Linked DNA regions of Oryctolagus cuniculus. The protein of the gene in region 2 interacts with the protein of the main gene of each other region in a pairwise test. Links are inferred from orthologs where the notes say so. Each region holds a gene or a part of one and is shown on either strand. Other genes may lie near its edges. The genes, in order: MRPL11, THAP1, BAG5, RBM10, TCEA2, ZNF385C and FAM133A.

Evidence for each region.
Region 1: the proteins of THAP1 (region 2) and MRPL11 interact in binary tests that used the Homo sapiens proteins (3 or more experiments, as listed by UniProt). The two-hybrid records come from large-scale screens. The link is inferred for Oryctolagus cuniculus from reciprocal best matches to the Homo sapiens genes THAP1 and MRPL11.
Region 3: the proteins of THAP1 (region 2) and BAG5 interact in binary tests that used the Homo sapiens proteins (3 or more experiments, as listed by UniProt). The two-hybrid records come from large-scale screens. The link is inferred for Oryctolagus cuniculus from reciprocal best matches to the Homo sapiens genes THAP1 and BAG5.
Region 4: the proteins of THAP1 (region 2) and RBM10 interact in binary tests that used the Homo sapiens proteins (3 or more experiments, as listed by UniProt). The two-hybrid records come from large-scale screens. The link is inferred for Oryctolagus cuniculus from reciprocal best matches to the Homo sapiens genes THAP1 and RBM10.
Region 5: the proteins of THAP1 (region 2) and TCEA2 interact in binary tests that used the Homo sapiens proteins (3 or more experiments, as listed by UniProt). The two-hybrid records come from large-scale screens. The link is inferred for Oryctolagus cuniculus from reciprocal best matches to the Homo sapiens genes THAP1 and TCEA2.
Region 6: the proteins of THAP1 (region 2) and ZNF385C interact in a two-hybrid assay, tested with the Homo sapiens proteins (3 studies listed by BioGRID). The two-hybrid records come from large-scale screens. The link is inferred for Oryctolagus cuniculus from reciprocal best matches to the Homo sapiens genes THAP1 and ZNF385C.
Region 7: the proteins of THAP1 (region 2) and FAM133A interact in binary tests that used the Homo sapiens proteins (3 or more experiments, as listed by UniProt). The two-hybrid records come from large-scale screens. The link is inferred for Oryctolagus cuniculus from reciprocal best matches to the Homo sapiens genes THAP1 and FAM133A.

Annotation. Positions count from the first base shown.
Region 1 is NC_091432.1:5,444,218-5,448,181, forward strand, and holds MRPL11 (large ribosomal subunit protein uL11m), read left to right. Parts: upstream 1-1,164; 5' UTR 1,165-1,256; coding exon 1,257-1,379; intron 1,380-1,596; coding exon 1,597-1,786; intron 1,787-1,857; coding exon 1,858-2,017; intron 2,018-3,329; coding exon 3,330-3,435; 3' UTR 3,436-3,598; downstream 3,599-3,964.
Region 2 is NC_091433.1:92,919,832-92,923,913, forward strand, and holds the start of THAP1 (THAP domain-containing protein 1), read right to left. Parts: upstream 2,801-4,082; 5' UTR 2,525-2,800; coding exon 2,454-2,524; intron 2,302-2,453; exon of another isoform or gene 2,148-2,301; coding exon of another isoform or gene 2,146-2,147; intron 1-2,145. UniProt on the Homo sapiens protein: DNA-binding transcription regulator that regulates endothelial cell proliferation and G1/S cell-cycle progression.
Region 3 is NC_091451.1:46,388,092-46,392,119, forward strand, and holds the start of BAG5 (BAG family molecular chaperone regulator 5), read right to left. Parts: upstream 2,801-4,028; 5' UTR 2,665-2,800; intron 2,600-2,664; coding exon of another isoform or gene 2,477-2,599; exon of another isoform or gene 2,408-2,476; intron 2,376-2,407; exon of another isoform or gene 2,099-2,375; intron 1,806-2,098; exon of another isoform or gene 1,664-1,805; intron 1,384-1,663; 5' UTR 1,359-1,383; coding exon 15-1,358; 3' UTR 1-14. UniProt on the Homo sapiens protein: Co-chaperone for HSP/HSP70 proteins. It functions as a nucleotide-exchange factor promoting the release of ADP from HSP70, thereby activating HSP70-mediated protein refolding.
Region 4 is NC_091453.1:32,690,546-32,694,692, forward strand, and holds the start of RBM10 (RNA-binding protein 10), read left to right. Parts: upstream 1-1,347; 5' UTR 1,348-1,411; coding exon 1,412-1,481; intron 1,482-3,099; coding exon 3,100-3,241; intron 3,242-4,147. Other genes in the region: NDUFB11 (NADH dehydrogenase [ubiquinone] 1 beta subcomplex subunit 11, mitochondrial), read right to left, coding at 456-662. UniProt on the Homo sapiens protein: Binds to ssRNA containing the consensus sequence 5'-AGGUAA-3'. May be involved in post-transcriptional processing, most probably in mRNA splicing. Binds to RNA homopolymers, with a preference for poly(G) and poly(U) and little for poly(A).
Region 5 is NC_091442.1:143,420-147,510, forward strand, and holds the start of TCEA2 (transcription elongation factor A protein 2), read right to left. Parts: upstream 2,801-4,091; 5' UTR 2,673-2,800; coding exon 2,601-2,672; intron 1,205-2,600; coding exon 1,142-1,204; intron 937-1,141; coding exon 831-936; intron 239-830; coding exon 148-238; intron 1-147. UniProt on the Homo sapiens protein: Necessary for efficient RNA polymerase II transcription elongation past template-encoded arresting sites.
Region 6 is NC_091448.1:20,724,716-20,728,215, reverse strand, and holds part of ZNF385C (zinc finger protein 385C), read right to left. Parts: coding exon of another isoform or gene 3,159-3,500; exon of another isoform or gene 2,657-3,158; intron 2,001-2,656; coding exon 1,852-2,000; intron 1-1,851. Other genes in the region: C17H17orf113 (uncharacterized protein C17orf113 homolog), read right to left, coding at 3,159-3,500.
Region 7 is NC_091453.1:56,414,792-56,418,788, forward strand, and holds the start of FAM133A (protein FAM133A), read right to left. Parts: upstream 2,801-3,997; 5' UTR 2,683-2,800; intron 2,278-2,682; 5' UTR 2,209-2,277; intron 1-2,208. Other genes in the region: NAP1L3 (nucleosome assembly protein 1-like 3), read left to right, coding at 3,665-3,997.

The DNA.
Region 1 (3,964 bases), on a different chromosome or scaffold from region 2:
TGCTCCGGGTTCACCGTCCGTGAAACGGGTTCTGTTCACGAAGATAGGCGAGGATCTGCTGGACACGTCTTCCAGCCAACCTTCTAAGTATCGCTTCCCGGCCACGCCACCACCACCTGGCCCAGCCCTCTGCCTGCCTCCTCCAAGCTAGGGTGACCTTTTCAAAATGCAAATATGATGCAAATGCATGCCCAGCACCCTTCGAGGGCTTCCTCCCCCACCCAGGGCTGCAAGACCTGGCCCCCAACCCCTGGTCCCGCCCCCTCGCCTCCACTGCCTCTGAACCTCACACGCGACCTTGAGGCATTTCCAGGGGTCCCTCCCGGTAATCAGAATCATCCCAGCTGTGCCTCCACTGACCCCAGGTGGAGTTTGCCAGCCGCCGGCTCGCCCTGGGCTCCCTGATTGTGCCGGTCAGCTACCTGATGGCTTCACCCAGGAAGGATTTGTTTCTTTATTAGTAAATAAACTTGTGAATGAAGGTCAGGCACACAGAGATGGATCAGACCCAGCCTGCTCCCCCCGGCCACCATGAATTAATTAATTTATGAGAGAGGCACTTTCTTTTTAAGATTCATTTTACTTATTGAAAGGCAGAGTCACAGAGAGAGAGAGGTCTTCCATCTGCTGGTTAGCTCCCCAAGCGGCCGCAATGGCCGGAGCTGGGTCTCCCACGTGGGTGCAGGGCCCAAGTCCATAGCAGAGAGCTGGACCGGAAGTGGAGCAGCCGGGACTCGAACCGGCCCTCATACGGGATGCCGGCACTGCAGGCGGCGGCTTTACCGGCTACGCCGCAGCCCCGACCCCAACTAGATGAGAAACAAGGATTTAGTACGGACGCCCGCTCTGAGCAACAGGTGCGGTTATCACGATGTCCAGCAGACGGCGCTCCAGCGCACCAGGTCGCCTGACGTGCACGAGGGGCCTTAAAACTACCGCACCCACAATGCCTTGCGGCACCGAGGGCCCGCCGTCGTGCTTAGCTGTCCGAGGCAGTGCCTGTATGCGCTCCTGAAAGAATGCGCGTAGCGAAGCCGCTCGGGTCCTTCCCCCTCTCTGCAGCAGGCCAGTGGGGAGGTTCTTTTTTTTCCCTTTCTCTTACTCTCCCGGCCTTACCCGTTAAGACTGAAACAGGCTGATGCTTGTTGGCCTCCCCTGCCCTAGCCCCTCGTGAGGCCCCTTGACCTCTGGCCCAAGATGGCGGCGCCCAGGGCGTAGCTCTCGCTGAGGTGAACCACAGCCAGACGGCCGGCGGCATGTCGAAACTAAGCCGGGTCTCTCGAAGCCTCAGGAAGCCCGAGGCCGGCGGCGTGATCCGGACCATCGTGCGGGCCGGCCAGGCCATGTCCGGGCCCCCCCTGGGCCCTATCTTGGGTCAGGTGCGCTCCTGGCCGGAGCCCGGCGCGGGGCGCCGGAGGGCCGGGATGGTCGCGGAGCCGCGTGCACGCTTCCAGCCCGCGTGTTGGCCTCCGCAGCAGGCCGTGGGGGGGACACACAAAGAAGTCTGTGGCGCAGAGAGCGGGAGTCGAGTGTGGGTGGAGGAGAGGGGCCGCGTGGGCGCGGCCGGCCCCGCTGACCGCCGTGTTGCTCCCGCAGCGAGGCGTCTCCATCAACCAGTTCTGCAAGGAGTTCAACGAGAAGACCAAGGACATCAAAGAAGGCATCCCCCTGCCCACGAAGATCCTGGTGAAGCCCGACAGGACGTTTGAAATCAAGATCGGCCAGCCCACCGTGTCCTACTTCCTGAAGGCGGCCGCGGGCATCGAGAAGGGAGCGCGGCGGCCAGGTGAGGGCCGGGGCGGGCGCCCGGGAGGAGCCGGCGGCCAGCGCCTGAGCGCGCGTGCCCCTTGCTCCCAGGGCAGGAGGTGGCGGGCCTGGTGACCCTGAAGCACGTGTATGAGATCGCGCTGGTGAAAGCCAAGGACGACGCCTTCGCCCTGCTGGACGTCCCGCTGTCCTCCGTCGTCCGCTCCATCATCGGCTCTGCGCGGTCACTGGGCATCCGCGTGGTCAAAGAGTGAGTGCGGAGGGGGCCTCTCGGGTTCTGGGGGGGGGGGGGGGCGGTGCACCTGTTGCGTGTTAGGTGTCGTCCTGGATGTGGGACGCGGCTTAGGCGGGGGCAGCGCTGCTTGGCCCACGTCCGTGTGGCGGCCGCGCGGACCCACGGGTGCGTGTTGGGGCCGGGGTCACCAGAGCAGCCAGGAGGGTTGCTGGCTGGGCGTGGAGTGTCCGTGAGGGGAGGGGCTACATCTGAGCAGAAGCCGGGAAGAGACCGAGGGCTGGGGCAGACGGTCCAAGGACGGAGATCTCCGTGGAGTCGGGAAGGGCGGGGGGCCTGGGTGCAGAGCCCCCGGGCAGGGTGGGAGGGTGTGGACCCGAGGCCGACAGGAGGGAGGCCTGCTCCTCGGCTTCAGGTGAGCTCAGGGAGTTGGGGGTGTCGGGCCCAGGCGGGGGCGGGCCGGGGAGTAGGAGCCCTGCGTGTCCTCTGCCGCCGAGTCAGGCCCCACCCGCGGCTCACGGTCGCTTCCCGGAAGCGCGGGCGCAGCCTGGGGCAGAGGGGGACCGGGCCTTGCTCACGTCTTAGCTTTTGCTGGGACGCAGGGATGAGTAAGCCCGGTCCTCTGGGGGAGACACAGGCACAGCCCCCCCGGCTTCCTGGGGCACAGGGCGAGGCCGGCTAAACTGGACTGGAGCCCGGCTGGGTAGCGATTTAGTGAGAGGATAAAAGGCCGCGGGCGGCTTTTCTGGCCGAGGGAGTGCGGAAGCTGGGGGCCGAGCAGCTGGACTCTGACACGGGGACACGGGCCCCGAGAACCGGGTGGCAGCTGCTCACCACCCGTCCACCCGTCTGTCTGCCTGTCCACCTTCTGTCCGTCCATCTGCCTGCCTGTCCATTCATCCGTCTGCCTGTCTGTCTCTGTCCGTCCGTCTGCCTGCCTGCCCATCCGTCTGTCCATCTGTCTGCCTGCCTGCCTGTCCATCCGTCTCCGTCCGTCCGTCTGCCTGTCTGTGCGTCTCTATCTGTCCATCTGTCTGCCTGCCTGCCCGTCTATCTGTCCATCCGTCCGTCTGCCTGTCTGTGCGTCTCTGTCTATCCGTCCACCCGTCTGTCTGCCTGCCTGCCCATCTATCTGTCTGTCTGTCCGTCTGTGCGTTTCTGTCTGCCTGCCTGCCTGTCCGTCCGTCTCTGTCCGTCCGTCTGCCTGCCTGCCCGTCTATCTGTCCGTCCGTCCGTCTGCCTGTCTGTGCGTCTCTGTCTATCTGTCTGTCTGTCCGTCTGTCCATCTCTCCATCCGTCTGTCCGTCCGTCTGTCTCTCTCCACCTGCAGCCTCAGTGCCGAGGAGCTGGCGGCCTTCCAGAAGGAGCGAGCCGCGTTCCTGGCTGCCCAGAAGGAGGCGGATTTGGCAGCCCAGGCAGAGGCCGCCAAGAAGTGACCCGGCCTCGCACACCCACAGTTCTGAGGCAAACGGCTGGGGCGGGGCCTGTGCCGAGGGGGAGGAAGGGCGACCGCGCCACCCTCATTGTGACTCTCCTGACTGGATTATGTATTTCTACGCTCATGGCTGCGTCAGGCCTGAATAAATGTCTCTGTCACCATTCTCAGCCTCTGTCTTGGGACCCAGGGAGGCAGCCCTGGGGTGGGCAGGGGTCTTCACGCGGCTCCTGGGACACAAACCGAGGCTCAGCCGGCAGAGTGGTTTGGCCCACGCCTTAGCTCATTTTCTGTTCCTGTAACAAAATCCCTGGGACTAAACACCACCGAGAGAAAAGGTTATTTGGCACACGATCCGGGTAAGTGGAGGGTCCAACAGCATGGCGCTGGCGTCCAGTGAGGCCCCCGAGCGTCACCTGTGGCAGAGAAGCAGCAAAGGGAGTCATGGGCAGGGGGAAGGGGCCGAGCGTGTGGGGCAGCCTTGCCTGATGGTGGCCGACTCCCTCCTGTGTGCCCGCCTGTCCCGTGAG
Region 2 (4,082 bases):
CTTGGGCCCCTGAACCAGCGTGGGAGACCTGGAAGAAGTTCCTGGCTTTGGATCAGCTCAGCTCTGGCTGTTGTGGCCATCTGGGGAGTGAACCAGCAGACTGGACTGGAAGACTCTCTGGTTCTACCTCTCTCTGTAACTCTTTCAAATAAATTTCTTAAAAAAAAAAAAAAAAGAAAGAAAAATGTCTGCTGCAAAAGGCCTCTGAAGTACCAACTCTTGCAGCAAGTGCTTGTAAAAAACTCAGTATGCAGGACCTCTTCTCCCAAGGACTACACATTCTCAGGTGTCTGTGAGGTTTTGGCAGGCTCTTTCCCATCTACGCTCCTGAAACCTGCTCCTTTAGAAAGCAGTGAGATGAGGCTAGCCCTTCTTTGGAGTCAGTGAGCAGAAACACAGCGTTCCTGGTGTGCGAATGTCATGCTGAGCTAGTTTCCAGTGCCTGTGAAGCGCCTGCCTTGGATTTTAGATTTGCTCTGCCACCCGTTTCGAAGGGGGCCAGGGAGATGGGGAGCTGAATGCAGAGGACGCTGTTACCATCCGCTGATGTAGCCTCTGGGAGTCCTTCACTTCTCAGGCATTCTAACAGACCCAGCAGTTATACTAAGACGTATGGAGCCGAATCCTGGGTTCCAGACCCTTCTCCAAGAAGAACAGCAATTCCGGAGGTCTCCATGCTCTACCCACTCTTATTTCTCCAGGGTTCATCTCACATTACATCAAACACGTTAAACACACAAGGCCGGTGCTGTGGTGTAGTGGGTTACACTACTGCCTGTGAGGCCAGCATCCCATATGGGTGCCGCTTTGAGTCCTGGCTGCTCCACTTCCAATCCAGCTCCCTGCTAATGCGCCTGGGAAAGCAGCAGAGGATGGTGCCTGCCACCCACATGGGAGACCTGACCGAGGTCCAGGCTCCTGGCTTCTCTGGCCAGAAGTCTTCCCTGTCACCTGCCTTTTAAATAAACAAATGTTTTAAAATATAACAATGCCCCAACACTTAACATTTTGCTTGGTAATTATTCATCTATGAGTAATTCATATAATTTACCACTGGATCCATGGGTAATGACATTTGTAAACAATCAGGCTGAATGAAAATGCCATTGTATCTCCTTTTGCTGAGCATCTGGTATCCTTAGGTAATCCAATGCTGCAGTTTTGTGTGTTTTTTTGTTTTTTATAGATTTATTTGTTTATTTGAAAGAGTTACATAGAAAGAGGAAGCAGAGGCGCAGAGAGAGAGAGAGAGAGAGAGAGAGTGTGTGTGTGTGTGTGTGTGTCTTCCAACCGTTGGTTCACTCCCCAGTTGGCTGCAACGACCGGAGCTGCAGTGGAAGCCAGGAGCCAGGAGCTTCCTCCAGGTCTCCCACGTGGGTGCAGGGGCCCAAGCACTTGGGCCATCTCCCACTGCTTTCCCAGGCCATGGCAGAGAGCTGGACTGGAAGCGGAGCCCATATGGGATGCCGGCACTGCAGGCAGCGGCTTTACGCCACAACCCAACCTCTCAGCTTTTTATTTTCAAAAGTCTATTTCCCCTACCCCCAGCTGTAGCAGTGGAGCCACAGGACCAGCGGGGTAAAACAGCCCTGAGTTTATGGCCTCCACCATACTAGGAGCTCAGGGAGAGCAGGTCTTCTCTCGGCACACCCACAAGCTGTCTCAATCTTTGGGATCCTTAAGGTTGGGGCGTAGGTTTGCGAGAAAAAACACCTCCCTGATATCCTGGCCAAAATAAACTCTGAATTTCTCCCTTCCTAAAAGAGCAGCTTCTCCCGGCTGCTCCACTTCCCACCCAGCTGCCTGCCGGTGCACCCAGGAAGGCAGCCCAGGATGGCCCAGGTCCTTGGGCCCCTGCCACTCACATGGGTGACCGTGGGGAGCTCCTGGCTTTGGCAGCCATTTGGGGAGTGAACGAGGGAATGAGGGACCTCTCCCTCCCTCTCCGTGGCTTTCAAATAAACAAATCTTTATATATATATGTGTGTATATATGTATATATAGATATTATATATATATGTATATATGTATATATAGATATTATATACATATATACATATATATACATATATACATATCTATATGTATATATAGATATTATATACATATATACATATATATATACACACACACACCTATACATACATACAGAACAGGGTTGGGGGAGGGCACGGGGAAGGCCTTCGCTCCTATCCCATTCAGCCTTCGGCGGCCGCCACCATCCGCCCTCCGCAGGCGCGGAACTCGCTAAGCCCACGTCCGGACGCGCGAGGAACCGCCGCTCGGCCGGGAACGCCCCCGGCTCCCGGCCCGAGACCCCCGCCCCGCCCTCGCCCCCGCCCCTCTCGTGAGGTCTCGCGCGGACACGCGCCCGGCTCCGCCCCGCGCCCAACCGGCCGCGCGCCCCCCACCCCGGCTGGGGCCGGCCCCGCGATGCGCGCAGGGGGACTTACTTGTGGAAAGACACGGGCTTGTCCTTGTCGTACCGGTTCTTGCAGCCGTAAGCGGAACACGACTGCACCATCCTTCCGGTCTCTGTCCCTTCACTTCTGCCGCCCCTGAAGGCAGGCGGAGCTGCTCCCGATGTCGCAGCTCTCGGTGTGGACGCCTTCTCCTCCTGTAGCTTTGGTCAACGGTTACAGAGAAGACGGTTTCACTCGGGGAGGGGTGGTGGTGACTACCGCGCCCGTTGTGGAGTTTGCATTAGCAGAAGGGCCACAGCCATCGCCCCTCTCCCATCTCCAAGATGGCGGAGGCAGCTTCAAACTCACCTCTCGCGAGGAGTTCTTCCACCGTCTCCGAGTAGCCTCTGAGGTCAGAGGTAACGTTTTTCTAGGAAGCAGGCCATTGGCTGAGGCCGAGCGTTTCCTGCGTCGTGGGGCGGGGCGGTGGCTAGGCGTTGCGGAAGGAGGCGGGGCTTCAGAACTTGGGTCTAGGCCGGGACTGCTAGGGGAAGGCGAAGCTCCCAGGGCCAGCCCTGCGCCGCGGGTGGTGCTCCCCGGAGTTCTGTACCCCGAGTTTTCCCCGGGCAGCCTTGAGTGGGAAACATACAGCGTGTGGGGTCAGCTGTCAAGCTGAGCCAGCCCGCTCTCCCAGGTCGCCGATTGGATTCCGGTGACATCTCAGCTGCCGAGACGGTAGCGCGCAGTGTCCCACCGCACAGAGGCGTTGCCTCTTTATCCCCTGCCCCCTGCAGATCCGGCGAGCGGACTGCTGATTGCATGGTTCGGACGCTCTGCTTTTTTCTGCCCCCTGAAACGTGGGCGTTTCCGGAACTCTAGACAGCTTGCTAGTGATTCCCAGGTCGTCTGTTAACTGCCTGCATCTGTCCTGCTTCCCGTATTACCTGCGAGTCGTTTGTCCCACGGCTGTCTATACCAGAGTCGTCTTCAAACGCCTTGATGACACCACGTTAATTTTATAGAATCCGTACACGCCTCTTAAGTCCATTCCTTTTTCATCTTTAACTCCTGTTCTTTTGAGTCCTTTATTTTTAAAGTATTTTGTTTGAGAGGGAGATAAGTGATCTTTCATCTGCTGGTTCACTTCCGAGAAGCCAGGAGCTTCTTCCGGGTCTCTCTCGTGGGTGCAGGGACCCAAGGACTTGGGCCATCCTCCACTGCTTTCCAGGCCACAGCAGAGAGCGGGATCGGAAATGGAGCAGCCGGGACTCGAACCGGCGGCCATATGGGATGCCGGCACTGCAGTGGCGGCTTTGCCCACTGTGCCGCAGCGTCGGCTCTTAGCTCCTGTTCTTGATCAGACCCTCACCGTGGGTGCAACCCCCTGACTTTGCCATCTGCAGTCCTCATGGAAGCCGACACTCCCCTGTGCTTCATCAGTTTATTCGTGTTTTGAACAAAATCCCGATGTCTTAAGGTCAGCCACAAAGCCCTCTAGGACCAGGCGCCTCTGCTTTTCCAGCGTCTCCTGCTTAAGCTCTGCTGCAGCTGTAGGTCTTTAATAGGCAGGCTCTCCGGTGCCTCCCACAAGAAGCCTGTTTTCCTGGGCTTCGCGTGCTCCTGACCTCCTCAACCGAGGCAACTCTCTTGTTCCAGTGAAGCCTTGCACTCGTTTCTGTG
Region 3 (4,028 bases), on a different chromosome or scaffold from region 2:
GTGCCCACTCGCGGTCAGTACTCCCACTCGTCCGACTTGAGGTCCAGGTAGCTGAGGATGTTTTGCGCCAGCTTCACGGCCTGCTTGCGCGCGGCCTTGCACTTCTCCTCGCCCTGCGGGTCGACCGCGTCCAGGGCCAGCAGCTGCTTGGTGAGCAGCTCCTCCAGCCGGATGTAGTTCTTGTCGCTGCGATTGCCGTCGAAGGACAGGACCTCCCCCTGGATCTCCGACAGGTTCCCCAGGACGCTCCAGACGGCCTGGTGGGACGGGTGCTCGGCGCCCACGCTCTGCTTCCTCTTCTCCAGCGCCTCCTTCAGGTCCACGTAGGTGACCAGCGTCTGCACCTCGATCACCGCCCGTCTGCGCGCCTCCCGGATGCAGGGGTTCTTCTCCAGGCTCACCTCGTCCAGCTGCCCGATGAGGCCCTGCAGCTCCGTCTTGGAGCTCAGGTACAGCTCGGCCGGGCTCTGCGCGCGCAGAAGCTCGGCCCTGACCTCCCGCGTCCTGGCGCGCACCTTCTCTATCTCGAGGATGGACTGGTTCTGGCCCAGGTCGAAGGCGCGGGTCGTGTCCGCCTCCTCCTCCAGCTCCAGGTACTTGAGCAGCTTGTGGATGTCCTCCACCACCTCCCTCCGGTAGTTCCTGATGTCCGGGTGCCCGGCCACGTCCAGCGCGTCCAGGTCGGCCAGCAGCCCCGAGAGCACGCAGGACAGGTGCCGGCAGGTCTCGTCGGCGCACACGCCCATCAGCAGCGCGACCACCGTGCCGCGGGCCTTGCTCACCGTGCACATCACGGCGTTGATCCTGGCGACGCACGGGTGCGCGTCCTCGGACAGCGGCAGCGACGGCTGCTTCCGCAGGCAGTCCTCCAGGATCTCCTGCACGGCGCACACCCTGCTCAGCGCGCGGTAGCGGGCTTTGCGCAGCGAGACCTTGCCGCCGGTCTTGACGTGCGTCAGCCGCAGCACGATGTCCTGCAGGCGCTCCTCCACCTCGTCCGCGGCGCAGCCTCCCCCGCTGTGCAAGGGCGCGATCTCGTCCTGCGCCAGCGCCTGCGCCTCGCGGAACAGGTTCCGGATCTCCAGGCGGCGCGGGTGGCTGGCGTTCTGCTCCAGCTCCTTGAGCAGCCGCTCCGTCTCCTGCGCCGCCCGCTTCCGCGCCTGCTGGACGTCCCCCCTGCCCTCGGTGTCCACGGAGTCGATCTCGAACAGCTGCCGCGTGAGCATGCGCTCCAGCCTCCGGTAGGCCTTGTCGTCCGCCAGCCCGCTGAAGCCCAGCACCTGCGGCTCCACGGCCTTCACCTCCCGCTGGATCTCCTGCAGCCTGCTGATGGCCGGGTGCTGGTTTCCCATGTCCATGCTCCGCTGCCTGGGCTCACGAGCGCTGCGGGGCGACAAGAGAGCTCATTCAGAGCGGCCGCCGGCAGGTCCGCGGACCCCGGCCGGCAGGCCCAGGGCCAGCCCGAGGGGCCGCCCGGCCCGCGGCACAGAACAGCCCGCAGGGCACGCCCGGGCCAGCAGAATGCGGGACAGGCCCCGCGACGGGGCCCCAAGCTCCGCCGGGGCTCCCCGCCCGGGACAGCGCCCACTCTGCCTGCACTGCCTCCCACGAGGGCCCGCGGGCGCCGCCGCGGGCCCGGGCCTCCCTCCCTCTCGCACTTTACCCGGCGGAGGTCCCGGCTCCCCGGAGGCGCGGCGGCGAGGTGGAAGATCAGCCCTTCACCGGGTGCGGCGGCGGGGCCGGGCCCCTAACGGCATCCCCTTCAGCCCCCCGGCTCGGTCTGGACGGGGCGGCCGGTGAAGGGGCCGGCGGCGGCGGCAGCTACTGGCCGCAGCGGCCGCTCCGGGCGTCTCGGCCCCGGGCCCCCGGCTCGCCGCCGGCCCTGACCTCACAATGGGCGCGCGGGGGAGGCCGAGGCCCGGGCGCCCCGCGAGGACGGGCGGGAGGGGCGCGGAGCGGGGCCCAGCCCGGCGGGGAACCCGGCCAGGCGCGGCCGCGTGGGAGCCCGTGGGGGGGAGCAGGGTGGCCCGGCGGAGCCCCGCGCCGGCGCGCGCGCGGAGAGAGCAGACGCGATCGCCGGCGCCCCCGCACCACTCACCCGCGCCATCACGCGCTCCGCTGCCGCCCACGACTTCCGCAGAGCCCGCGGCGCCCCCGTCCGGGGCCGACCACCCCCAAGCCCTGGGAAAAGACGGCTCCGCGCCCGCGCCTCACCTCGAGCCGCGCCCCGGGCCTCTGGGACGACAGGGATCGGGGAACTGTCGCCGGCGTTCGCCCGCGCTGCCCGGTCCCGGCAGGCCTCCTCCGCGCCGCCCCGTCCCCACAGACCCCCTCCGCGAGCCGTGTCACCGCGGGAAAAGCGCGCGGTCGGCCCCTCCGCGGCGCGCCCGCCGGCTTTGCGACCCTGCCGTAAGGCAGCCCCGCTCGCCGTCGCGAACGCCGCCGGGTGCCGCGGGAGCAAGGTGGGCGCGGCCCCATGGCGGCGGTGCGGCGGGCGCCGCGGACCCTCGTCCCGCCCCTCTGCCGGGCCTTCGCGGGCGGCGGCGGGCGGCGGGCCCCGGAGCGCGGTGCGGAGCGCAGGGAAGCAGCGCCGAGCGGGGTAAGCGCGCTGCCGGGGCTGCCGGGCCGCCCCCGGTCTGGCGCCCACCGCCGCGGTGCACGGACCTGGTGTTTGCCCGAGGGCGAGTTCCAGAAGCGCCCGGAGGGGCTCGGCGAGTGGCTGCGGCCGCGGCGTGCGGCCGGCCGTGCTTGTCCTCAGGCGCTGGCGGGCCGGGGCGGTGAGGCCGGCGCGGAGCCGGGCCGGGCAGTGGTTACGGAGCGAGGAGAGGGGCGGTGAGGCCGGCGCGGAGCCGGGCCGGGCAGTGGTTACGGAGCGACGAGAGGGGCGGTGAGGCCGGCGCGGAGCCGGGCCCGGCAGTGGTTACGGAGCGACGAGAGGGGCGGTGAGGCCGGCGCGGAGCCGGGCCCGGCAGTGGTTACGGAGCGACGAGAGGGAGCCCGCTGGCCGTTGCGACACTTTGGGCCTGCGGGTTTTCGTGCGGCCGCCGCCCCGACTTCCGCTCCCACGCGCGCACACCCACCAGGCTCGCGGGTGTCTGGGGAGGATTCAGCCTCTGAAAGGCGCTGGCGGGGGCAGCCGTGTAGCAACGAGAGGGTTGCGCGGGGTGCGGCGTTTCCGCGGCCGGTTTGGGCGCCGGTGCCAGCGCCGCAACAGGTCCCGCAGGCTGCTTGCTGGAGAACCGGACCCGCGCAGGGGCTGTGCGGGCCGTGTGGTCAGGTCCTGTGCGGGCCGTGTGGTCAGGGGCTGTGCGGGCTGTGTGGTCAGGTCCTGTGCGGGCCGTGTGGTCAGGGGCTGTGCAGGGCCGTGTGGTCCGGGGCCGTCTGGGACTGTGTGGTCCAGTGGCGTGCAGGGCCGTGTGGTCAGGGGCTGTGCGGGCCGTGTGGTCCGGTCTGTGCGGGCCGTGTGGTCAGGGGCTGTGTGGGGCTGTGTGGTCCGGTCTGTGCGGGCCGTGTGGTCAGGGGCTGTGCGGGGCTGTGTGGTCCGGTCTGTGCGGGCCGTGTGGTCAGGGGCTGTGCGGGGCTGTGTGGTCCGGTCTGTGCGGGCCGTGTGGTCAGGGGCTGTGCGGGCCCGTGTGGTCAGGGGCTGTGCGGGCCGTGTGGTCAGGGGCTGTGCGGGCCCGTGTGATCCAGTGGCGTGCAGGGCCGTGTGGTCCGGTGCTGTGCAGGGCCGTGTGGTCCAGGGCCGTCTGGGGCTGTGTGGTCCGGGGCCGTCTGGGGCTGTGTGGTCTGGTCCTGTGCGGGTCGTGTGGTCGTGTCCTGTGCGGGCCCGCGTGGTCCAGTGGCGTGCAGGGCCCGCGTGGTCCAGTGGCGTGCAGGGCCGTGTGGTCCAGGGCCGTCTGGGGCCGTGTGGTCCGGTGCTCTCCGGAAGAGGCAGGGCAGAGCCGGAGCCGCTTGGCCGCGTCCAGCATTGTGACCCCCGCCGTGTGCTCGGGGTCCGAGTGTCCGTGCTGCCGGGTGTTGGAGGGAGC
Region 4 (4,147 bases), on a different chromosome or scaffold from region 2:
CTGCTAATCCAGTTATTTGAGCTTGGGCAAGCCGTGTATCTCTGTGTTTCTATTTCCTCATCTGTAGAATGGGTGTTAATCAAAAGTGCCTACCTCAAGATTGGGTGGTTTTGAGGATTAGATGAGTTAATGTATCTAAAGTGCTTAGACATAGACTGGCACCGGGCAAGCACCACCTCGGGGCTTTTAGTATTAGCATGGTTACCCTACTATATTGCTTCCAGAGTGTTTACGGCATTTCTGACTTTAGGTTTGCAAAATAAGGCCAACCCTGCCTCTGGCCCCGGACCGTAGGTATCAGGGGACAAAGGAAGAAAATAAGTAACCAAAATTCCCACGTCTTTAAGGATTTCGCCAGCTGCGCAATCCGCAGCTGCCTCAGAACGTCCTCTGCGGCGCCCCGTCCGCCAGTCCCCAATTGGCCCTTTCGGCGTTCCGTCCTCCCTCCCTCTCACCTTCTCATAGAGGTTGTCGTCCTCGGGATCTGGGTCCTCCTGCCAGCGTATGGTCGGTTCTGCAGGCCGCTTTCCCGCCACAGCGGACGGGGCGACCACAGCCCTGGAGGAGCTGGATTGCCAGCGAGCGCGGACAGCCGGGAGCGCTCGCGTAGCCGCTGCGGCCCAAAAGCGGCGAGCGCACAAACCTAACATCCCGGCCGCCATGACGAAGAGTGCGGCAGGGTCTCAGGGGCGGAACGGAAATGCGACTGTGCGCAGCTGCAGTTGGTCCGAGCGCGATAATTGTCGCTCCACCCCGCCACACTAAATAGGTCCCAGGTCCGATTTTGTTTGCAAGTGAGGCGGGGCGTCGAGGAAGAGCCCCCTTACCCTCCTGTTGTCATGGCCTCTTGAGAAATTTGCTATTGCTAGGTCTGCACATAACTTGATAGGAAGGAAACAGTGACATTTGGGTGGCCACGGCTTCCAGCCAATCGCCCAGAGAGTTCCCTTGCCCTTTAGGGAAAGAGGTGGAGCTTCCGCCTGCCTTTCATCTTCAAAGGAAGCCAAGCTTCTAAAAAGCGGGCCTCGCTGGATTGGCCAATAGCGACTTTTTCTCGACTTGTGGGGCGTTCTCACGGGGAGTGGGGAGGTGGCCTACGCGTGCCAATCAGAGGCGGCCAGGGCTGGCCGACGGCGAGCGGCGACCAATAGAAGAGGCCGGCCAGAGCGCGCTCCCTTAGTAGGTGGATGGTGGTCGGAGCGCCGGCTGCCTTCTTGTCGTCGCCATTTTGTGCTGCTGATTGCGGCCGGCTGGGAGTAGGCGGCCGTGAGTTTCCCTGGGAGGGCAGCGCACTTGGCGCTTCTCCCTTCTCCTGCCCCTCCTTTCTGCCTCCAGCTTTGGACTTGATTGTTGCGCGCTCCGGCTCCGACTGAGCTGGGAGACTTGGAGGAGGTGGCGGCGGGCCGAGGTGATGCCTGGGAGCCCTCCCTTGACAGCCCGGGCCGAGAAGGTGAGCGTCGACGCTGGTCGTGGGGGCGGAGGTAAGGGGTCCCGGGCGGGGGGTTGCACAGATGAGGCATTGAGGGCGGACTGCGGGCTCGGGGCACGCGTGGATCGCAGGGATGCGTGCACGGTCAGAATCCGGGAGGGGGTGTCTTCCCCCCCCTCCTTGTGAAATCTAGGGCGCGTGCGCGATTGGGACACGGGATGGGTGCACGCGGGCTGGGGGAAGGGAGGGACGGATGGGAGTGGGTTACTGTAGCTGTGTTTGCTTGCAGAACTTTATGCAGGTGTCTGCGACTTGGGTGTTTATCCATAGGGGAAGAGGTGTGCTGGCTGCTCTCTGTGATACTTTGGCACTTACCGATCCATGGGGAAGTGCTCGGCGGCTCTGGTCCTTATTCATGGGGCGGGCACTGAGGGGAAAATGTGCAACTCTGGCCTTTATCCTTGGCGGGGCGAGGGGCGACTCTGGTCCTTATCCGTGGGGGGGGGGGGCTACCCTGTGACGGGCCCTTACTCATTGGATGGGAGAGGGGTGCAGAAAGCGTGTGTGTGTGGTGGTGGGGGGGGGGAGAGACTTACCTCCCGTTCTTTTGAGGAGTTCATACCATTGAAACGGGGCTCTGTGTGTGATTAAGGCCCTCGCAGTGGGGTCTGGCTGTGATTTTGGCCAGTATCTGTTGTGGATGCCAGAGTCTGTTGAGGATTTCCCATCTGCCTTGCAATCGCCGGGGCCCCTGGTTGTGATTCTGACTTTACCCATTGGGAGCAGGTAACTCTGGTTCCCTGTGGTTTGGGGAGGAAAAGAAGATTGGTGTGTGTACATGGAGGAAAGGTGTGGTGGCGACGACCTCGTGTTGAGCAGGTGCTGTTACCCGCCTGGCTTCACCCGATTCCTGTTGAGAGGGAGGAGCCTGGAGATTGTGGGATACATTCCGACCCCTGCCTATGTTGTCACATAGTTATCAGGAGTCTTAGACCTTGCACAATCCCAAGGGTTGTATGAAGTGACTGCTCCAGCCCAGTAGAAAGGGCCTCCTTTTGCTTCTGGAACACTTGGGCTCAGAGCCCTAGGGAGCCAGCCACCTTGGGACCCGGCTGCACATCAGAGACAGGGCTGGGGGCTGAGCCAGTTGCCGTGCAAGAGCCAGGAGCCCAGGGAGGTAGCAGTTGTCCTGTTGCCGAGGTAGTCCCCTTCACACACACCTCCAGAGCCTTTCAGGGTGTCTTGCTGCCTCGCAGGGGGCAGCCAACATCTTGTTGGGAGAACGAAATGGTACCTTGGGGCTCATGGACAGAGCCCAGTGCCTGCCCGGATCTCCCACTATTGTAAAGTTTTGCCTCTGTGCCTAGACTTGAACATGTCTACCATGCTCAGATGGCAAAACCCTGGCCACACAATGACTGGCCCCACCAGGTCTCTCTGCAAGATGTCTCCTGTCTGATGAAGGCCTTGTCTTCCAGGGCTGTGGGCTCCAGTTTTGTGTTTGTGGGTAAAGGAAGGAGCAGCCCAAGTTGGGGCTGCCTTCTTGTAGCCTGATCCACACAAGCACTGGGCGTTGAAAAACAATATCCGTGGGCTACGGGACAGTAGAGAGCCTTGATAATGAGGGTTTCTCACTGCCTTGACCCCTTTCTTCCCTCTACTCTCCCCAGAATCCCTGCAGGAGGCATCACCCAGGCTGGCAGATCATGGTGGCAGCAGCGGGGGTGGCTGGGAAGTGAAACGGAGCCAGCGGCAGAGGAGGGGCCCCAGCAGCCCCCGCAGGTCCTATCAGGACATGGAGTATGAAAGACGGTGAGTTTTCTGCCCCCCCCCCCCCTTCCGAGGAGCCTCGGCTTGTCCCGGTGTGAGGATCCATCCAGGAAGGTGTGTCAGTAGGGGCCTTCCAAGCGGAGGATACAGTACAACAGGTGATTGGTTTCTTTTCAGCCGACGTGTGTTTGGCACCTGTTGTGAGACAGGATCTGTGCTAGGCTGTGAGAGTGCACTGATGAATGAGACAAATAAGAACGGCATCCCCTGTGCTCAGGATGTCACAAGGGGTGCCACACAGTTCATAACGGTTACAAAACAACTTGATGGGTAGTGTAGTTGGAGGTAAGGGCGGGAAGGGATCAAAAGAAAGGAGAGAATTGAGGCTGATGCCAGGTTTGCAGCTTGCGTGACCCGGATAGGTGTGTGGCACCATTCACCAAGGTGAAGGCAGACTCTGCAGGGGGAGGGGGAGGAGAAGAGGCAGGAGGTCAGGTCTGTAGACTTGGGTTTGAGGAATGGATGGGAATGCTGCCTTGAGTTAGGAATTTGGTCAGGCAAGCCAGGTCAGATAATGGGAGACTCCAGGGACAGAGGGGGCTGCACTGGGCATGATATTTTTCTTGAAATGGATACATTCACATGGTTATTTTTGTCAGCTGTGGTATGTGCAAGAAACAGTTGGAATGCTGGGTAAAATCCAGAAATCCTGGGTAAAATTCCGTAGTCCTTTGCTATCCTGGTGGGTCACCCCAGGTAATTGTGAGGCAGGTGATACACCCATGATATTTTAAGATTGCCTGAGAAACCAGATCTAACTCTCTCAGAAAGCCTCTATTAAGAATCAACGGATTTATAAAAGGGGTGAGGAGAATTGAAAGATAAAGCTTAAAATATTTTCAAAGGATTTCTTCTACCATTAGCCCTCTTAAAAATGGAAAACAATAT
Region 5 (4,091 bases), on a different chromosome or scaffold from region 2:
GACAGGCCCCAGGGTAGGCAGGCAGGGGAAGACCCAGAGCAGCTCACTGACCGCAAGGCACACCCAGCCAGGTGGGACTGGGCTGACCAACGCTTCCCCTGACCACCGCCCAGGGTCACAGCGGCACCTGCTCCCCAGGTGCTCTACCTGGGATCCGTGGCCTCGGAGGCGGCCTTGGAGGACGAGGCAGGCAGAGGCGCACCCCTCCCCCGGTCCCTGGCTCTGGCATCTGAAGCGTCTGCAGTTTCCGGAGAAGAGGCAGTGAGTGAAGGGGACAGAGGACTCCAGCAAAGCAGAGCCCTGGCCACCGCCTTCGGCCACGGTCCCGGTCCCTGCCCCAGCCAGGAGGCCACCACCCCAATACCCTTTCTTGCCTAGGGGGGGTCTCTTTGGGTCCACCCTCCAGCACAGAGCAGGCTCCTCCTGAACCCCACGCCTTGGGAGGCCTGCACTGGGGACAGCCCACATGTGTGTCGCATGTGTCCATTGGCCACACAGGTCACGTGGCTGCCTCACAGAGGTAAGTGCCCAGGACAGCCTAGGAAGGCTCCCCCTCCCAGGGCCCAGAGGCATGGCTGCTTTCCTGTCCCAGTGGCACAGCCCACTCGTACCAGTGCCCCCACCCTGGGCCACCTCCTGCCCCCCTGGCCCTGGGCACCTCAGCTTTGCCCGGCCCAGCAGGTTCTGGGGGCCCCAGCCTCCTGCAGCACCTCCAAGGCAGGCCCCGGTCCAGTTCCAGCTCCAGGCAGCACTGTGCCTGACAAGCAGGAGGCCAGCACCCCCTGGGCACCCCTCCTCCAAGCACAGAGCCCTCACTGCCCGACCCACACCCAGCAGCTTCTTCCACGACTTGATGAGAGACTTGGCCAGCGCGATGACCTCTTCGTCTGAGCTCTGCTTTCTCAGGGCGTTGACCGACATCCCCACACGAGTGGCCTGTGAACAAGCCGCCTGGGTCGGGGGGTGGTGGGGAGCCCCCAGGGGGACTCTGACATCTCCCAGTAGAACCCACGAGGACAGGGTGGGATATCGAAACGTCTCATTGAGAGCCAGAGCCAGGAACAGGCCTGTGCCCATCAGTGTGCCCTTGGACACTGCTCTCCCAGGAGCTGCCCCAGGCCGGGGGCAGGCAAGGACCTACCTGGAGCAGGTGCAGTGTGACGGGCATGGCCTTGAGTTCCCTCAGCAGGTCTATGGCACCCTCCTGGAAGGAGAAAGGGGGGCTTCCTAGAGCTCAGTGGACAATCCCACCTCTTCCTGCCCATAGGCCATGCCTCAGTGCCTCCACCTGGAGACACCAGGGCTCCGCCCACCAGCCGGTGCACCCAGGATAAGGAGCCAAGTGGCTCTGCAGGCTCTGTCCCTATGGTCCCGTGACCTTCCGTCCAGCATCCACGCAACAACCTCACCGTAGCCATGTGGGGTCACTGAACAAACCACAGGAGCACAGACGCCAAGGGCCATGGCCAGGTAGGGGAGGGCTCAGGCTGTCACACACAGGGGCATCTCCCCTCGGGCACCGCTCCTCCAGGCTCCCCAGGTCCAGGACCCTGATGGGTGTGGGCCCCACCTCCCTGCAATGCCTTGTGCCCAGCCAAGCCTCTGTTCCTTAAAGGTGGGACTCGGGGGGGCCAGCTCCCCCGCCCCCACTGCTCCCTGCGGGCGCCATCCCTTCAGTGCGGTGTGTGTCTCTCCGACCAGAAGGGCGGGGGTGACCACGCAGATCCCTCTCCCAGGCAGGCCCCGCTCCTGCGCTGTGCCGAGTTCGGATCTCCCAGGGCCGCGTTCCCACCGGCACTGCACACGGGGAAGCTGGCTCTCCCAGGTCTCCGGACCCCAAAAGGGGCTCTCAGCTCTCAGGTGCTGGCCTCCCTCCCTGTCCTCCCAGGGAGCGAGTCCTGCCCAGCCGCTCCCCTCCCTGTTAGTCTCCCCCAGCCAGTCTAGCGCCCCTACTTTGCTGCAGGCCTGGGGGGGTGAGAAAACAATGGGGTGGGGGTGCTGCTTCCAGGATGACTGACAGTCGGGCCCGTTCCTGGAGAACCCCATCCACAAGAACCCGCCCCACCCCCACGCGGTCCCGGAGCCCATGACTCAGCCGTCTGGGGCCGCCCCGGGAGCTCGCAGCCCCGGGGACAGCACAGGTCCCGTGCACGGAGCCGGTCCGCGGGATGCTCGCCCCCTCCCCACCGCGGCGGTGCTGGGCGGTCGCCAGGGGTGCTGCGGGGAGTGAGGCCGTTCCAGGACCGGCCCGGCCGTGGGGTCCGGTCGAGGCGGCGGCATTTGCCGCAGGCGCCGGGCCCCTAGGGGCGAGGACTCGGCCCCGCAGCCCGTGAGTGGGGGCGAGGGCCGGGGGCGGGCCCAGCGTGCGGCGGGGGCTCCTGGGCCGGGGGTCGGGCCGGGCCTCGGGTCTGCGGGGCGCAGGGGGAGGGCGGGGCGGCCCGGGCGGGGGTCCCTGCCCCGGGCACGGGGGTCTCCCGGCGTCCCAGGGGTCTCTGCCGGGGCTCTCGTCCTTCCCCGTGGGGGCTCCCGGGCCTGACGCGGGGCGGCGGCCTCGGCGGGGTCTCGACGGGGCGGGGGTACCAGCGGCCCGCGCCCCTCACCGCGCTCTTCTTGGTCACCATCTTGTCCAGCCTGCGGGCGATCCGCGCGATCTCCTCCTCCTTGCCCGTCATCGCCTCGGGGCAGCGCCCCCGCGCCCGCCTCAGACCGACCCCGGCCGCCGCCTCCGCCGCCGCCGCCGCCGCGGGCCGACCCTCGGCTCAAACCCCCGGCCCCGCGGCCGCGCGCTGCACCCTGGGACGCGTAGTTCGCGCGCGCCCGCCCGGCCCCGCCCCCGCCGGCCCCGCCCCGCGCCCGAGTGTGCCGACCTCGCCCCCGCCGCAGGCCCCGTGGAGACCCCGACCCCGGCCCCGCCCCCGCACTCACGGCCCCGCCTGCTGGGAAGGGTCCTCTGGGAGCGGCGACCTCCTGCGGAGAATTCGGGCCCCGCAAACCGCCCTGAGCGAGGGCCGCGGGGCGGGGCGGGCTGGACGCGCCCCCTGGAGCCCCGCCCCCAGGAGCCCCGCCCCCCGAACGGCCCGGGCCCGTTAGGCCGCTCCGGGTCCCTTCACGGCCGGCTCCCCCTCCTCTGTCCTCGAGCATCCCCGACCCCGCCAACCCTGCCCCTCGGTCCGTGCGACCACGGCGCCGTCCCAGAACCCAGCCTGGGTCGTTAGGGCCTCTGCCCGGGGTTGGCTCCCGGAGCTGCCCGCCCACACTGGGGAGCCCCACAGCCGGCAGGAGGGTGGGTTCCTCTGGTCAGGCTGATGGGGAAGGGGTGCCAGAAGCTGACCCCTGTCCCTGTACCTGGCGGCTCCACGCCCCGACCCCTGACCTGTGCCTGGCAGGGCTGCTGTTGGGGTGAGGCAAGCTGACTCACTGACCCGGATAAGCGAGAGACTGGCTTTTGCCACAGCTGAAGTCCCCAGGAGGGGCCAGACCACACAACACAGAGGGTGGCCCAGGCCCAGGAGAGTTGAGGAGTGCCAAGGTGCGGGGCCAGGACCGGTGCCTGCCTGCCTCCTAGTGATGGGGTGCTGGCGGCTGCAGAGAGCGGGCCAGGGACTGCTGGGGGCAGCTGGGCACACCAGGCCTTAGGCGCTCAGCGGCACTGAAGGTGGCAGGTGCGGGACTCACCTTAACCACGAGGAAAAGCATGAATTCCTTGTGGCTGTTCCCAGGTTGTATGGTGGGCGGACACCACACCCCAGTCTCCCAGGCCAGCAGAAGCTGCCCTGCCCGTAGTCAGGGCGGGGGTGGGCGTCCAGCCACGTCAGGGCAGCAGGGAGGATGGAGCCACACATCCTTCAGCCACCCTGGACGGCTGATGAGTGACCACACCCAGGAGCTGGCTGGGTCTTGTGGGCCAGTACTGGGGCCGCCTCGGGACCCAGAAATCATGGCTTCAGAAATCGTCCAAGCCAGACCCTTGTCATCCAGGTGGTGCCAACCACGCAGGCTGCCCGGAGAGGCAGGCCTCAGGGAGAGGGGTGGGTTCCAGCTGACTCGAGGGCCCCTAGATGCCCCAGCCCTGCATCTGGCGCAGCTGCTGC
Region 6 (3,500 bases), on a different chromosome or scaffold from region 2:
GTGGCGGCGGGCAGCAGTACAAAAGGCCAAAAGTGCAGAGTACCGAGGAGGGCAGAGGGGCAGCCCCTCCGGGAAACTTCCCCGCCCTGCACCTGCTCCTCACAGAGACGAGACAGCCTCTCCCTGGCCAGCACTGGATGCTGGCAGGGGGATGGCCAGGGCAACCCACATGCTTTCGAGAAATAGAATCCTGTCCTGCTGGACACCTGGGCATCTCTTGCTGCCCCTCTAGTCTCTGTTTTATTTTTCTCCTTTGCAAGCATCAAACCATCAGGATGGGAGTTGGGCAAGGGAAGGAGGCAGGGAGGGACAAAGAACCCTTCACTCCTGTAACCCAGCCTTGGTGCCCGGCGCTGGGGGCTGGGAGGAGAAGCCTGTCCTGTCAGCTGTGCCACTGGTGCAGGGCCTGCAGCCTGGCAGCGAGAGCCCTGGCCAGGGGCAGCGAGGGGTGGCCTGAGGGTCCTCCAAGTGGCAGCACTGTTTCTCTGGAACATTCGCTTGAGTGGGGTTCTTTCTCCCAGCATTGTAAGTAATTTTTTTTCTTCGATCAGACCAAGCCCTTAGGTTCCCTTTTCTCAGGGGCAAGAATTTGAACCTGTCAAGAGGAACTTCCCAGACCTTCCCAGGGGAGAGAGAAGGGCCTGGGTGCAGAACTTCCCTGAGAACAGAAACAGGCGCTGACCTCCCAGGACTCGGGGCTCCAGACTTTTAGGGGACAGCAGCGCAGGGGGGCACAGCCCAGCAACTAGGATGGCAGCGGTCTCAGCGGCCCTCGAGAGACCTTGCCCCAGAACAAGGACGGGCAGAGGACCCTCCCCACATGTCCCAGACTCCCTAGGGCCTCTGTGCGCCTCCCGGAGCGGGTGCTGGAAGGGGTTCCTGCCCCAGAGAGAATTGGTTGCTGTCTTATCCAGATGGGAGGGGCTTGTCTGTGGAGGGGGGTTTCCTTATACTTCACTTGGCGGAGGAAAATTCCAAGTTGCAACACTTGTCACCCACACGTGAAACGGATGGACACATGGCACAGGAGCTAACAGCCGTCACAAAGTTACAGACCACCAGGAGACACGTGACCATAGATGAACTCAGTCACTCAAACCACACAAGCACACACCAAACACAGCTACAGAAGCCACAGACAGAAGAACCCCTGGGGGAGGGCAGCACTGTGGAACAGCAGGTAAAGCCGCTGCCTGCAGCACTGGTATCCTAGATGGGTGCCGGCTTGAGACCCGGCTGCTCCACTTCCGATCCAGCTCCCTGCCGATGACCTGGGAAGCAGTGGAAGATGGTCCAAGTGCTTGGGCCCTGCGCCTGCATGGGAGACCCAGAAGAAACTCCTGGCTCCTGATCAGCCCAGCTCCGGCTGTTGTGGCCATTGGAGAGTGAGCCAGCAGATGGAAGATCTGTCTGCCTCTAACTCTGCCTTTCAATTAAAAAAAAAAAAGAACCCTGCACATATGAAGGCACTCCCATTAACGACACAATGATCCGCCAGGCACTCACGCACATGCACACGCATGCGCACACACACACACACACATCCACACATGACACCAAGGAGCTACATGAAGTACAACAGAAAGGCACACATGACTGACCCAGAAGTCCCTGTACACACACTCAAGTGACGTCTGTACTCGGCAAACCCTGGAGGCCCAGCAGTGATGAAGGTGGGGGTGGAGAGGGAGTGACTCCATCCTGTTCCCCAGTCTAGGAGAGAGCCAGGCCCACGGGTCCTCATTTGGGAAGCCCCCAGTCACCGCGGGGGATGATGGCTGGATGCAGCTGCCGAGCTGGCCACTCTGAGCCCACCGTCCCCACCCGCCCCACCGCCAGCGCAGCCCGTACCGTGCTGAAGTTGGGGAAGAGACTGAGCGGGGCGGCGCCATTGAAGTGGAAGGCGAGCAAGTGCTTGAGGTCCAGCGGGGGCTGCAGAGGCCGCGTGGGCAGGGGCAGGGAGCCCAGAAGGGGGCTGGGGGCGCTGGAGGCCGGGCCTGCTGCAGAAGGAAGAAGGCAGGTCTGAACTGGGGAGCCACAGGGCTCTCTCCTACCTCTACAGCCAGCACGAGAGCCAGACGGGCTGCCTGGGTGCAGAACCAGAGCAGAAACTCGTCTCTCTCTTTACAGTCACGGCAGCTGAGCCCAGGGCGACGGCAGCCCCCACTGCTGGGCTCTGCTTCCCCAGAGTTGGAGAAGCAAAGGCTACACAGTGGCCAAATGAAACCCCCTGGGAGAGTCCAGGGCAGGAGGGGCAGGAGTCAGGTTGGCCCCTGAGGTACACACCACCATGGAGATGGTGCCATGCACTGGGTTTCTGCTTTATTGTAAATTAAACCCACTCAGGGGGCTTGTGCAAAGGCCAGCCCCTTCCCCCTCACTATCTAGTCCCGCCTTCCAGATCCCGCACCCTTCTGGGCACAGGAGGAGATGAGCAACCCCTGGGAGGCTGGAGGACAAGAACCAAGGCTCAGGTCAGGCCCCAGATGCTTCCCTTATGAAGGACAAGTGACCGCAGGCCAGGCGTGCAGGGGCAGCAGGGCACCACACCGTGCTTCTGCAGTCTTTGGTCTTAAGGGTCCCAGGCAGCAGCAGGGGGAGGGCTGGGAACTTGAAGAGCAAGCCGATTTTGAAAACAAAGAAAATGAGAACTCAATCCAGTCCGTTTTGATTTTGTGTTCATACTATGGACAACGGGACAGATGGGTTCACACTGATAGATTTTTATGTCAACATGTACGGTCAGATAGAGAAAAGCCCCCCCAAGCAGGTGGAGAAGGGAGGGGGCCCCACTACCTCCTTGGTTCCATGAGCTGGGGCGCAGAGGGGGTGCAGCCAGGAGTGGGCCAAGAGTCGAGGGCTCATTCTCATTTCCCACAGCGCCTCAGTCCCCCAAGACCTAACTAAGAGCCCCCTCTACTCCCCCTCCACGTTTTAGGACCAGAACCAGCCCAGTTCAGAAGGGGAAAGGATGGGAAGGGTTTAGGGAGCCCTAGCGTCTCCCCACTTGCTCTAGACCGGGAAGGTGTCTCAGGACCCCTGGGAAGGGGGCACAGTTAGCCGTCAGCTGAGGTGAGGCACGGTCAAGTCTGGCTCTGCTCTTGGGAGTGCCCAGAGACCCCGGGAGGCTGGTCCAGGGCGGGGGGTGGAGGCCACACTCAGGAGGGCTGCGGCCCCAGGAGCCCCTCCCCCCAGCCACTTTCTAAGAACTCCACAGCCAGCGCGAAGTCAAAGTCCTGCAGCGGCGGCCCATCCACAGCGATCTTCACAACGTGGCCGCCGCGGCCTTCCCCTGCCCCGCTCTGTCCCCACCACCGCAGCTCCCGGCTGCGGCCCACCTTGTCCAAGAGGCCGGCTCCCGCGGGCAACGCCAGGGCCAGGGCGGCCAGGGCGGCAAAGTCGGGGAAGAGCTCGTGCAGCTCCGAGTGCGCGCACGCCAGCCTGGCGCACAGGGCGCGCGGGCTGAGCCGCCCCAGGCCGAACACCACGCGCTTGAAGAG
Region 7 (3,997 bases), on a different chromosome or scaffold from region 2:
AATCTTTCTAGCAGTTTGTGAGGTCATCCCACTCACTTCCTAAGACTGTTCTCCATCCCTTTCTTGCAAACTCTTGCCAGTGCCTGAATGATAATTCTTGACAAACAGGAGATGAACTTAACTGCCCCCTTGAAGTTTAAGCTAGAAAAACACACACCCTTTCGGGGCACATTTTCAAGGCTACTTGAATTTTTTGTCTCCCAGACTGTAATGGTCATAAATGTAATTACATAAATGTAATTATTAGTTATCTATGACTAATTTGATTTTGTCTTGGTTGATAGCAGCCATGGTTGCCTTATCATGGTCAAAGTCATTGTACCTTTAGAATTTCACCGCCTTTTAATTTCTAATTCAGTGGAAAACAATCAAACAACATGAATAGATAATATTCAGTGAACAATAAACATGAAAAAACATTCAGTCTTACTACTAATATAAGAAATACAAATACATAATATTGAAAAATGTATTTGGCGTTGTTCATCTAAAAATGTGAATGGCAATCACTTCTTCATGTATTTATAGTTATTTTTAATTATTCCTTTGTAGTTCTTAGTAGTTAACTATTCTATCTAGCTTTTTTAATGATATCATGTTAATATATACATTTTTAATGTATCATTTCCACAAAATAAAAGCTTATTTTTAAACTACCTAATTAGTTTTGTGCGTAAAAATTCTGACCTATGGAACAAAAAGGAGAGAATTAAGAAATGGACCCAGGCAAATCAGTTAATATGATTAATTTGGAATTTCAAATAAGTATGGAGTATACATATTCTCAAATAAATGATACTCAAAGAATTAGCTGACAAAAATGAACTTCAAAAATCTGGATCTTTAACATCACTAACTCCTAAATACCAACTCCCAATAGTACAACATCTAACATGCATATAAAATCATTAAAATACTGTAATCTGGATTCCTATCTTATCACTAACTCTAAGACTAATCTTTGATGGTACAAAGTTTAACATATATAAAAAAGCCATCAACATAAGAGAATTTGTTTAAAGATATCCATCACTTTACGTGAAAATAATAAGCTGCAGAATAATATTTATGGTAAAACCCATTGATTTAAATGACTGTTCTATAGAAAATGCTTTCATTAAAATTGTGAAATGAAAACATATGCATCCAGTTAAGTTTTACTCACTATTATACTGGCATCCACTACAACGAGTGCCTGGTACGTGACAAGCACAAAAATATATTAGTTGAATGATTAAATGAGCTCTTATGCACTATTGGTGGGACTGTAAATGGTTATAATCTTTCTAGAGAGAGTTTATCAGTCCGTATGAAATGCTAAAATGAACACACAATTTAATTTAGTCCAGCACCCCTGCTTAGTAATCTATCTTATTACAAATTTTCATAAGTGCACCTGCTCTGGTTGCCTAGGAGCAATATTTTTTACAAGTAAAAAAGTATTGATATAAGTGGAGAGATAGTGTGGAAAGAGTTACCATACAACAGGAATTAGATGAAATAAATTAAGACAACTATTTCCATGGAATATGCCTCTATTTAAAAATTAGATGTTGATCATTTTCCATGAACCGTATAGTCATAATTAAATGATAAATGAATGAGCAGGTTACAAAACATACTAAAATGTCACATAGACAAAATTATATACATATATATGCAGGTGTTTATAAATATGCACAAGAAATCTCTAGAAGGAATTGCACCCAAAATGCTAGCAACAGTTATCATTCTGTTGTTAAGATTGTGTTTTTCCAATCATTGGAATTTTTCTCTACTGGGGTTTTATCTTTACAATGTTCATATACTTTTACAATCAGCGCTAAGGAGTAAAAGTAAATGCATTTACAAAATTTAAAAGCATTCCCTAACTTTAAAAAAAATGTGTAACTAAATGTCAAAGCACAAATTCTATAAAAATGTAATATAAAATTATCTCACTTTAACATAGTTTCATTCAAAATGAATAATTCATCACATTTTATGTCTTGTTACTTGTATTCTATGACCAAGTTTATATAGTGAATGTGGTTAAGTAGTTGTTTTGTACATTAGTATGCCAAATCACTTCTGTGAATTTTTCTGTTCCCATAGAAATATCAAGATATCATCCAATTAAATCTCTAAAATACTATCCTGTGAATTTTTACTCAAATACAAATGGGTTATCCCTGTCATTCATAAAAATGGGCTAAATGCATTCCTTACCTTTCAGTGAAAAGTAAACACTGGTCTTTTGGGTTTACCAAGGGAGTTGTTCTGTAGCAGAAAAGAATCCTGTAAATAAAAACAACACATATCTATCTTTAAACTTCATTTTGCGAAAGTTTGTTCACATATTACTGGACTTGTAAGTCATACTTTAATATGGCTGGAATTTTACAATACTAGAAGGAAACTGGTGGCAGATTACATTTTATATGCTGACAGAGGATGCACTTTCATTAGCACAAATTCCCCCTCCCCCCCATCCTGCTGTTCCTGGAATTGAAACCTGCTGCACAAAAGTATAAAACAAACAGTCTTCTTTTTAATATTAGCAATATTGAATACCCCTTTTTTATTTACAAGGTTATTGCAAGCCTTGAGAAGGGCTATGTGGCGCGTTAGCAACAAGGTTGGGGTATATTATATGCCAGCTTAGAAAATAGAAATAAAATAAAAATGGTGTAACTGACTCACGGCAACATGGGTTCGCAAACCTTGTAGATGGATACAAACCAGGCTTGCCAAACATCACAGACAGCACTTATTAAATCTGCTACGTGGAATGCAATATGCCTGCTGTCTAGCCCCTCCCCCGTCCCAATAAACGACTGCCCCTTTTTCTCCCAGTGTAAAAGTAGATGCTCACAGAGCAGAGGAATAACGCTTTTCCTAAGAAAGAAATCATCCATAGTCACACTACCCATTGACTCCATTTAGAAAATTTTCATCCAATTTTTTCAAAACGTTTTTTTTTTTTTTTTTGTCAAGAGGCCCGTGACAAACCAAGCGGGAATTCAGGATGGGCGGATAGAAGGAAGACACTCCTCTTCTTATGTGGTTAAAAAACTATGGCTTGTATTTTTTTTTTAACCTCGTGTCTGCGCTTTTTGTGAATTATAAAATCACAAAGATAAATTTTGGGAGGGGGGGCTTCCAAGGGTTCGAGTCTCACCCACCAAAGAGCGTCTGGGAAGATGGGCGGAGCCTTGGTGTATGTGTTGCGGGGGGAACCGTTGCGTTTGGCCTTTCGTTGGACATATCGTTTGTCAATCAAGGTTGTCCAGCAAATAAGGAGCCAACTAAAGGCACGCTGGGTAGGAAATTAACGGGCAGTCTAAGTGTGAAGGGGAGGGGGCTCGCGATCCCAAGCGAGAAGAGATCTCGGGGTCTCATACTGCGCCATTCGACTGCGGCACGCTTAGGTCGGCCGTGGCTGCTGCCTGGAGAGGCCTTGCCGCCGCCACTCTCGTCCAGGCCGCCAGTGCCTCTGCCGTCTCGCCTCCGCCGCCGCCGCCGCCGGAGCCTCGGTCCCAGCCCCATCCCGCCGTGCGCTGCTGCTGCTGCCTTCCCCGCGGCCGCCGCCGCTGCCGCAAGCATCCGTGAGTCATTTTCTGCCCATCTCTGGGCGCGCGCTCTCTGCGGTAGTCACCACTTAAGAGGTTTACAGGCTTTCCATATGGCTGAAGCGGATCTTAAAATGGTCTTGGAACCTGTCGCCGAGGGGGTTGCTGAAGAGGAGATGGCTAGCTCGGCTAGTGATTCTGGGGCAGAATCTGAGAGCAGTTCTAGCAGCAGGTGCAGCAGCAACAGCAGCAGCAGCAGCAACAGCAGCAGTTGCAGCAGCCGCAGCCGCTTATATAAAAAGAGGAGGTTTCCCGAGCCTTCCAGAGGGGTTCAGCGGGCTCCACTGCGTAGAAATTTCGTGGATAGGCTACCTCAGGCAGTTAGAAATCGTGTGCAGGCACTCAGAAATATTCAAGATGAATGTGACAAGGTAGATGCCCTGTTC